2 linked regions of the Oryctolagus cuniculus genome follow. The protein of the gene in region 2 interacts with the protein of the main gene of each other region in a pairwise test. Links are inferred from orthologs where the notes say so. Each region holds a gene or a part of one and is shown on either strand. Other genes may lie near its edges.

The links. The genes of interacting proteins can lie anywhere in the genome.
Region 1: the proteins of C6H8orf33 (region 2) and HAP1 interact in a two-hybrid assay, tested with the Homo sapiens proteins (2 studies listed by BioGRID and IntAct). The link is inferred for Oryctolagus cuniculus from reciprocal best matches to the Homo sapiens genes C8orf33 and HAP1.

Annotation. Positions count from the first base shown.
Region 1 is NC_091448.1:20,960,777-20,964,839, reverse strand, and holds the start of HAP1 (huntingtin-associated protein 1), read right to left. Parts: upstream 2,804-4,063; 5' UTR 2,654-2,803; coding exon 2,233-2,653; intron 1,279-2,232; coding exon 1,202-1,278; intron 772-1,201; coding exon 655-771; intron 156-654; coding exon 1-155. UniProt on the Homo sapiens protein: Originally identified as neuronal protein that specifically associates with HTT/huntingtin and the binding is enhanced by an expanded polyglutamine repeat within HTT possibly affecting HAP1 interaction properties.
Region 2 is NC_091437.1:168,508,247-168,512,315, reverse strand, and holds the start of C6H8orf33 (UPF0488 protein C8orf33 homolog), read right to left. Parts: upstream 2,810-4,069; 5' UTR 2,795-2,809; coding exon 2,594-2,794; intron 2,509-2,593; coding exon 2,463-2,508; intron 2,384-2,462; coding exon 2,208-2,383; intron 2,098-2,207; coding exon 2,013-2,097; intron 1,930-2,012; coding exon 1,783-1,929; intron 1,560-1,782; coding exon of another isoform or gene 1,513-1,559; exon of another isoform or gene 1,310-1,512; coding exon of another isoform or gene 1,170-1,309; exon of another isoform or gene 811-1,169; intron 419-810; coding exon of another isoform or gene 339-418; exon of another isoform or gene 310-338; intron 1-309.

The DNA of each region.
Region 1 (4,063 bases), on a different chromosome or scaffold from region 2:
TCCTCCTCCTCCTCCTCCTCTTCTTCTTCCTCCTCCTCCTCCTCTTCCTCTCCTTCCTCTTCCTCCTCCTCCTCCTCTTCCTCCTCATCTTCAGAGTCTGAGTACAGCTGAAGGAGATCATCTCTCAAGTTCACCTGCTGTCTGAGGTGTAAAATCTGGTAGAAGGAGAGAGGAGCTGTGGGCGGGGGCAGGGGCAGGGGCAGGGGCAGGGGCAGGGGCAGGGGCAGGGCCCTGCTCAAGGAGGGAGTAGGCCGGCCCCCCTCTCCAAGCCTCCCACCCTGTCACCTCCTCCCCGGCCCCCCTCTCCACACCTCCCACCCTGTCACCTCCTCCCTGGCCCCCACCTCCACACCTCCCACCCTGTCACCTCCTCCCTGGCCCCCACCTCCACACCTCCCACCCTGTCACCTCCTCCCTGACCCCCACCTCCACACCTCCCACCCTGTCACCTCCTCCCTGGCCCCCACCTCCACACCTCCCACCCTGTCACCTCCTCCCTGACCCCCACCTCCACACCTCCCACCCTGTCACCTCCTCCCCAGCCCCCACCTCCACACCTCCCACCCTGTCACCTCCTCCCTGGCCCCCACCTCCACTCCTCCTGCCCTGTCACCGGCCTCCCCAGCCCCGCCTCCACGCCTCCCGCCCTGTCACCTCCTCCCTGGCCGAGCCCAGCATGGCTTCCAACTTGCTGTTCTCCTCCATGAGCACGCTGTTCTGTTTCACCAGGGACTGGCCGATACGAGCCGCCGTGTTCAGGTCGCGCTCTCTCTGCAGAGAGACCCCCGCCTGTGGTGACTGCTTTCCCCATTGTCAAGCTCTCCCAGACGGGAGGGAGAGGCTCGGAGGTGCACAGGGGGCAGCAGGAGGCCAGGACTTCAGGGGAAACCCCCCCATCCTGCAGTTCTCAATGTGCCCGGCCGGAGTCTGCCACTAACCCACCATGGGACCCGACTCAGTGAGTGCCCCTTATGGAAAAAGGCAGTTCTAACCAGCCTGGCTGGGCGCTCTCCCCTAGCCTGAACATCCTGTATCCACTGCCTTCCAGAAGACCAACCGTCCTCCCCTCCCCGCTGGGTTGCCAGAGACTCAGGCAGGCAGGAAACAGACTAGACCCTTCCAGGCTACTTGGCAGAACTAAAGGGGGTGGGGGAGACTGGCTAGGGCTCGGGGCTGGCCTGCCTGGGAAGTGGGTACACACCTCCTCCAGCAAATACAGCATCACTTTGATATCGTCTTGGGTGATCTTCTTGGCTGGGGGTAGGTTAGGGCACAGCGCTGCGGGAGGCACAGGCAGTCAGGAACCAGGGAAGCTATGCCTCCAGGCGCCCACTGGAGTCCACACGGGGGTCGTGGAGGGAGGGCACTGGGCCACTTTCCTGCCCCAACATCCTCCCCCAGTACTCATCCACCCCCCAGTATTCAGCCCCTGCCTCCAGGGGCCAACTGGACCAGACTCCCGCCCCCATAGCGAGATCTGGGTAAAGCGAGGGAGTGGCAGTCCTCGGGGCTCAGGAACTGGACTCCCAGGCCACCCGGGTCCCCGCACCTAGGAGGCAGCATGGGAGCACAGCCACGCACTGGCTCCATGAAGCCGCGCGAGTCGCAGAAACAGACTCAGTCCCCACCCTGCACCTGTTGCGCACTGACAGGAGGGGAGGGAGAGACTTCCAGAACCGAGACAGGGGTACCCAGACCGGAGGTCTGCCCCGCCCCGACTCAGAATAGGACGGAGACAAGAAGAGGGGCAGATGCCAGGCTGGGCGGGAGCGCGACCTAGACTCCCCTGGCCCCTAGAAGTCCAGAAGTGCGCAACGCTTGCCCCTCCGCCCACCAGCTCTGGGTCGCCGGCGAGCCCTGTGGGCCAGCGCAGGCTCAGAGCGCGCCTGGCGGCGCCCTCCCGCAGCCCCCCGCCCCTCTCCTGGCATTGCAGTAGACGGGGAGGGGGCACTGAGAGCGCGCAGATCCGCTGCAGCAACAGGCGCCCGAAGCGGCGGGGGAGCTTCGGGCCCTAGCCCGGACGCACCCGCGGGAATCAGGGAGCCACCGGGGAGCAAGAGATAGGAAGGGGGCGGCCAGACAGCGCTTCAGACAGGACACCGCCGGGGGGGGGGGGGGGGGGTAGCCGGCTGGGACCGAGAGCCGGGGGCGGGGCTCTCGGACTCGACGGGGCCCCTTCTCCCCGGAGCTGCGAGGGTCCCGCCCGTCCCGGGTCCCCGGGGACCTGGTTACCTTCCTGCAGCTCCCGGATGAAAGCGGCGCGCTCAGGGCCAGACACCCCGGGCCGCCGGCCAATGTAGGCGGCCGGCGTTTCCCAGATGCCAGCAGCCTTTCCACGTCCCAGGCCCGTGGCCCGGGGACCAAAGGGCCCTTGAAACACAAAGCGGGTCCAGGGCGCGTCCCCGTGTTCGGCCCAAAATGCAGCCGCGCGCTGGGCTCGGGACTTGGTCCCGGACTGGGGCCCGGAGGCTGCTCCGGGTCCGGCCCCCGGTGCCTGCGCGGGGCTGGGTTCGGGCTCGGCCGAAGGCTCTGGAGCGGGGCCGGCTGCGGGCGGGGGTTCGGGGATGACCGCTGCTGGATCCCCAGGGCCGGGGCCGGGGCCGGACTCCAGCCCATCGCCGGCGCAGCCCTGCCCCTGCTCCTTCGGGCGCATCTCGACTCCGCAGTCCGCTGCCGCAGCCGGTGCTTTATAACCTGCGCGCGGAACCGGTACCCCCGGGCCGTGCCACGCGTGGGGACGGGGGTGGCCGAGAATGAGGCGGCGGGACAGAGCGCGCGCGGGGGCAGAGCGGAGGACGCAGGCAGAAGCCGGGCTGCGAGGAGAGTGCGGCGTAGCGTCCCGCCCGCCCCGCGGGCGGGGGCTCAGAGTGAGGGTTTCTGCCCTCTCTCCCCCATCTCTGGAGAATGGTTCCTCCCAAAGCCGCTGCCTCCCGAGAACTCTCGGACGAGACTCCAGCCAGGTCTCCAGCTACTAGCGCCCACCGCCTCCGCGGCCTCCGCGGCCTCCACTCCCGCCTTCCCTGGGTCGCGCCCGCCTGGGTGACCGGTGGGCGCGGCGGTGTCGTGCCTTTTGCGGTGAGCGGGGGACCGTGCGCAGCCAGCAACGCCGCCGACTTGGCTTTGTCTGCCTCCTGCCAGCCTGGCAGACACCTGTTCTGTCCTTGGGCGACTTCCCTGAGCGTCCCCGGTGAGCCGTGGGGCAGGCGAGAGGGGGCCCTGGCTGGCCCCTGGGTCACTGCTTCCTCCCAAGCCCCAGGACCGTTCCTGGTGTCCCCGCTGCCTTCTCCTGCACACCCCGGCGCCCAGCCCTACTGAATCAGCCTCTGAAACATCGCTCGAATGCTGGCCTCCTCCTCAGCCCTTCTGCTTCCTCCCATCTCAGACTCAAGGAGGCCGCCCCATCCCGTGTCCCCACATCCTCCCACGGGGTCTCTCATCCGTCTCTAACCCGTCCCCTGGCTCATGCGCCTAAGCCAAGGAGTTCCAGGTGCCCCTGGCCCAGCCGCTGCTCCTAGCCTGAGTCCTACACAGGGTTTGGGGCCCCCACACCCAGGCGAAGCTCCTGGTACCTGTGGGCCCAGGTGATGCAGCTGCAACAGGAGACGCCACCCAGGAGGGATCAGCGTGAGCCCTCCACCTCCTTCCTCTGGGCTCACTTGTTCATTCCACAGATGTGTACAAGGGCCTCCTGTGCGTGTCAGGCCCTGCGTCTGGGGCAAGAGCAGGAACAAGAGAAACCAGATGTCTGTTCCCTCGGAATTCAGAGTCTAAAAAGGAGGCAGACAAGCAAGATAATCACAGGCTGCAGTGAATTCTCAGAAGGAAGCGAACAAGGAGCCACAAAGGAGGAGAGCAAAGCCCCACCTGCAGGTAGGGTGCTGAGAACCCGGCGTTCGCATTTCAGCCCACACCTGCGCGACCCACTCAGATCCCCTCCTCCGCTCAAGCAGGACCTCCCTCTCCCAGAGCCGGTATTGCCCGCTGCCGGCTGCAGGCTGAACGCACCACCTGCCCCCTCGTGCCACACACCCACCACAGCCCCACAGGGATTCACTTGCCCAGC
Region 2 (4,069 bases):
CATTCTGACACTTTACATCTGCACTGTGCCCAAGCGGGAACCACTTCCTGTGAACACTGCTGAGTCTCTTCACAGGATATTACCTCGCCTAGTAAACAATGGACGAAGCCCGTTGATATTTGCTTTCCCAGGAGCCAGTCAAGGAAACCCACATAAAATGAGCAGTAATGCTGAAAACCCTGAGGCAGGATAACGTTTGGTTATTTCAGGAGTAAACAAGAAACCAGAGAGGCTGGAACAAGGGCGGGAGGTTATGTCAGAGCCATCGTGACGCTCCTGCCCTAAGGCCTTGTGTGTCAGTTTTCATACCGTAGTCTGGGTTTAATGAAGCCATTCAGTCAGGAGAACCATGAGCCGACACACCCACAGAGCGGCAACGCAGCAGACATCAGGCCAACACAGCAGTCATGGTTGAGACCTGGGGCCGGAACCAAGAGCAGCAGTGCAGATGAGACGCAGATCTGACAACCATTCAAGTACTGACGTGTGTTGAAAAAGGGAGATGACAAGTTTGCCACCTAAGCAGCCAGGTGGGCAGAAGCACCACTGACCAGAAAGCAAAAGACAGACGGAGATGTTGGGCCTGACGCAGTGTTCTGAACAGCCTGTGCTGCTGGGACCCACAGCGGCCCTGGGGATAACACTGCTCACGAGGGCAACAAGGACAAGGGACCACACGTCGGGTGAGGTCCTGGACCCAACTATGCTGGGCCCTCAGCTCGTGTACTTCCTCAGACAGAGATGTTCAGCATTCTTTCAATCATCCACTTCCATCAAAAGTGGAGACTGAGGCAATAAGACAAAATGGTATAAAGCAATGAAATATTTAATGGGCTTATTTTCAAAACTGAGCCCCAGCGTACAATTAGGTAGCTTCACCACTAATCCTTATTACCAGGAGCACTTAACCAAGCCTGAAAAACCAATAAAGTACATTATTCTTTTCATGACACTCATTTCTGTTTCCTGTAGATTTTCCTCTCTCTCTCTCTCATGCCAGGAGGGGCATGTCATCCAAAAACATACAAATGGGGGCTTGCACTTGTCTGACACTCACAGCAGCCCAACAGCCCTGCTGTAGACGAAGCTGACCTCTGCCAACAGAGACCTCCTGGAAAGTCTCTGCACTCAAGACAACATCCCGGGGTTGTTCTTTGATGGGGGAGAGGCTAAAAGAAATTGAACCTAAACTCTTCATCAGGAGTATCCACAGTGGCCTTGGCGCCTCCCACTGGACGTGGCCTGCAGACCTTTCGGCTCTTCTTTCTGGTGGCCTCACCCACAGGCTGCACCTGGGCAGACCGAGCAGCTGGGGGGGGGGGGGCAGAGGGCATCAGAGTCAGGACTGAGTAACAGCAAACAGCACCTGTGCAGTTACGACTGCTCATGCAACCCTGACCCTCAGCAGAAATCAACTGATCTTGAGAATCCTAAGGCAGTTCCTATCATGACTTACAGAATCACGGAGAGAACTAGAACTTGCCAAGGGTGCTAACGACCTAAGTGGTAGCTTCAGGACTGGAGCAAGGTGGATGGCTGGTTCCAGGACTTACTAACTGCTGCATGGAAGGTGAGGCAGGGCCAGCTGTGGGCCAGGCTCCTTCCCCTCCGAGAACCTCTGCCCCCTGCGCCCAGGCCCAGTTCTGCTTTGCTGAGGGCTCCACACTTCCGCCCCGCCCAGGCTTCCCTGAGCTCAACTCCATCCCCACCAGCGTCAGAGATGCACTCCCTAAGCCCTTCCTCTCTATTGAACCGGACATCCCAAAACGCAAAGCTCCTCACCAGCCCTAAGAGACCGCAGGGCCTCCAGACGCTCGGCATCCATCTGAGCCCTGTAGTCTCCAAACAGGGCACGCATCAGCTGCCGCTTCCGGGGCAGGGGCGTCCTGTCGCTGCGCAGGGTTCGTATGGCCCCGACAGCCTGCTCTCCTGCGCATAAGAGAAAAGGCCAGTCCCCCGCTCTGTACCCACCTCCTCTCACCCAGCGCCGCCACCGCCACACCCCCACTCACTCTGCTTCAGGGTGGGTTTCCGCGTCTGGAGGCCCAGCTCCAACTGCTCCACGCACCAGGCCAGTTCTCGGGCCAGCTGCTCCGCCTGAGACGGGTGGAGAGAGGGGCTGAGGGCAGGCACCGGGACCTGCCGCCCCAGGCCCTTCCTTGCCTCCACAAGGCTGATTTCTAGACGCCACCGGGAGACCCCCTTGCCTGCGCCTCGGCACTTCGCGAGGCTTCCTCTGGAGCGGGCTGCTCCGAAGCCGTCTGGCCTCCGTTCGCCGCAGGAGCCCTGTCCCGGATTTTCTTCTTGGACTTCCTGGAGGCGGCACTGCCCTCAGAGACTGCGGGGTTCGCTTTGCGGGCGGCGGCACCGCACGTGGGTCGCCCTGCACGGAAACAGGGGAAGTACTCGGGGCACCGGAACCGCGCCAGGGGCCCGGGGTCTGCGTGGCGCGCAGGCGGTACCTGAGCCTGAGGCCGCAGAGGCCTCGCGAGCAGGACGTCCTGGGGCCTGAAGAGAAGAGGGCAGCATCAGGGTCACTGGAGGCCGCCAGCAGCCCAGGGGCCCGCAGCGCGCGCGCCTCCGCCACGCTCACCGCCATGCTCCGCCTTCGCCGCCGGAACCCGCGTAGGGCGCAGAGTCCGGGACCAAATTGGCCCCTCCAGCAACGCGACTGCGACGCGGAGTTCCGGGTGCGCGGGGAGGCGCGGGGCGGGGCAGGGGGCGGGGCAGGGGGCGGGGCTACAGGCGAGGCGGGGCGGCGCTGGCCGAGCTCCGGCTGCGTAGACAAAGCCATCTTCTGCTGCCTTCCCAGGCACATTAGCAAGAAGCTGGATTAGAGGTAGAGCAGGCGGGGCCGGGGCCGGCGCTGTGGCATAGCTGGTAAAGCTGCCCCCTGCAGTGCCGGCATCCCTTATGGGCGCTGGTCCGAGTAAGATAACAGCTAACAAGAACAAACCCAATAACGGATCCAAGATATGGTTGTAAGGTAACAGTGAGGCGCTGCTCCACTTCCAATCCAGCTCTCTGCTATGGCCTGGGCCAGAAGATGGCCCAAGTACTTGGGCCCCTGCACCCCTGTGGGAGACCCAAAGGAAGTGAGGAAGTGAACCAGCAGATGGAAGACCTCTTTCTGTGTGTGTGTGTTGTGTCACTCTTTTAAATAAATAAAAATTTAAAAGAAAAAAAGAAGTAGAGCAGCCAGGACTGGAACCAAGCAATGATATGGATATTTACTAACATATTAATATGCATTTTTCAAAAACCTCGTTGTCATAACAGAAGATTGGACTTCAATCTTGGGTCAATGTAATTTTGGCATTCACATTCAACTTGTAGAAAACTTGGGGCCGATGCTGTGGCGCAACGGGTTAACGCCCTGGTCTGAAGCGCCAGCATCCCACATGGATGCCAGTTTGAGACCCAGCTGCTCCACTTCCGATCCAGCTCTATGCTATGGCCTGGGAAAGCAGAAAGAAGATGGCCCAAGTCCTTGGGACCCTGCACCCGCATGGGAGACCTGGAAGAAGCTCCTGGCTCCTGGATTCCGGTCAGCACAGCTCCAGCCGTTGCAGCCAATTGGGGAGTGAACCAGCAGATGGAAGACCTCTCTCTCTCTCTCTCTCTCTCTCTCTCTCTCTGCTTCTCCTCTTTCTCTGTGTAACTCTGACTTTCAAATAAATAAATAAATCTTTTTAAAAAAGAAAACTCTATGAACAATGTTTTAAAATTGTAAACTTTTCTTAAAACTTTTTATGACTTGCTCACACCTTCTGAAATTTACACCCATAGTTACATAGTCTTGAATTGTCATGTATAGACAACCTATGAGAATACATGCTAACAAACACAAAGTCTCCCCTACAGCATTTAAGATGTTAAAAGTACACATAATAAGCCACGCCGTGGCTCAATAGGCTAATCCTCTGCCTGCGGCGCCAGCACCCTGGATTCTGGTCCTGGTCGGGGCACTGGATTCTGTCCCGGTTGCTCCTCTTCCAGTCCAGCTCTCTGCTGTGGCCCAAGTCCTTGGGTCCTGCACCCGTGTGGGAGACCAGGAGGAAGCACCTGG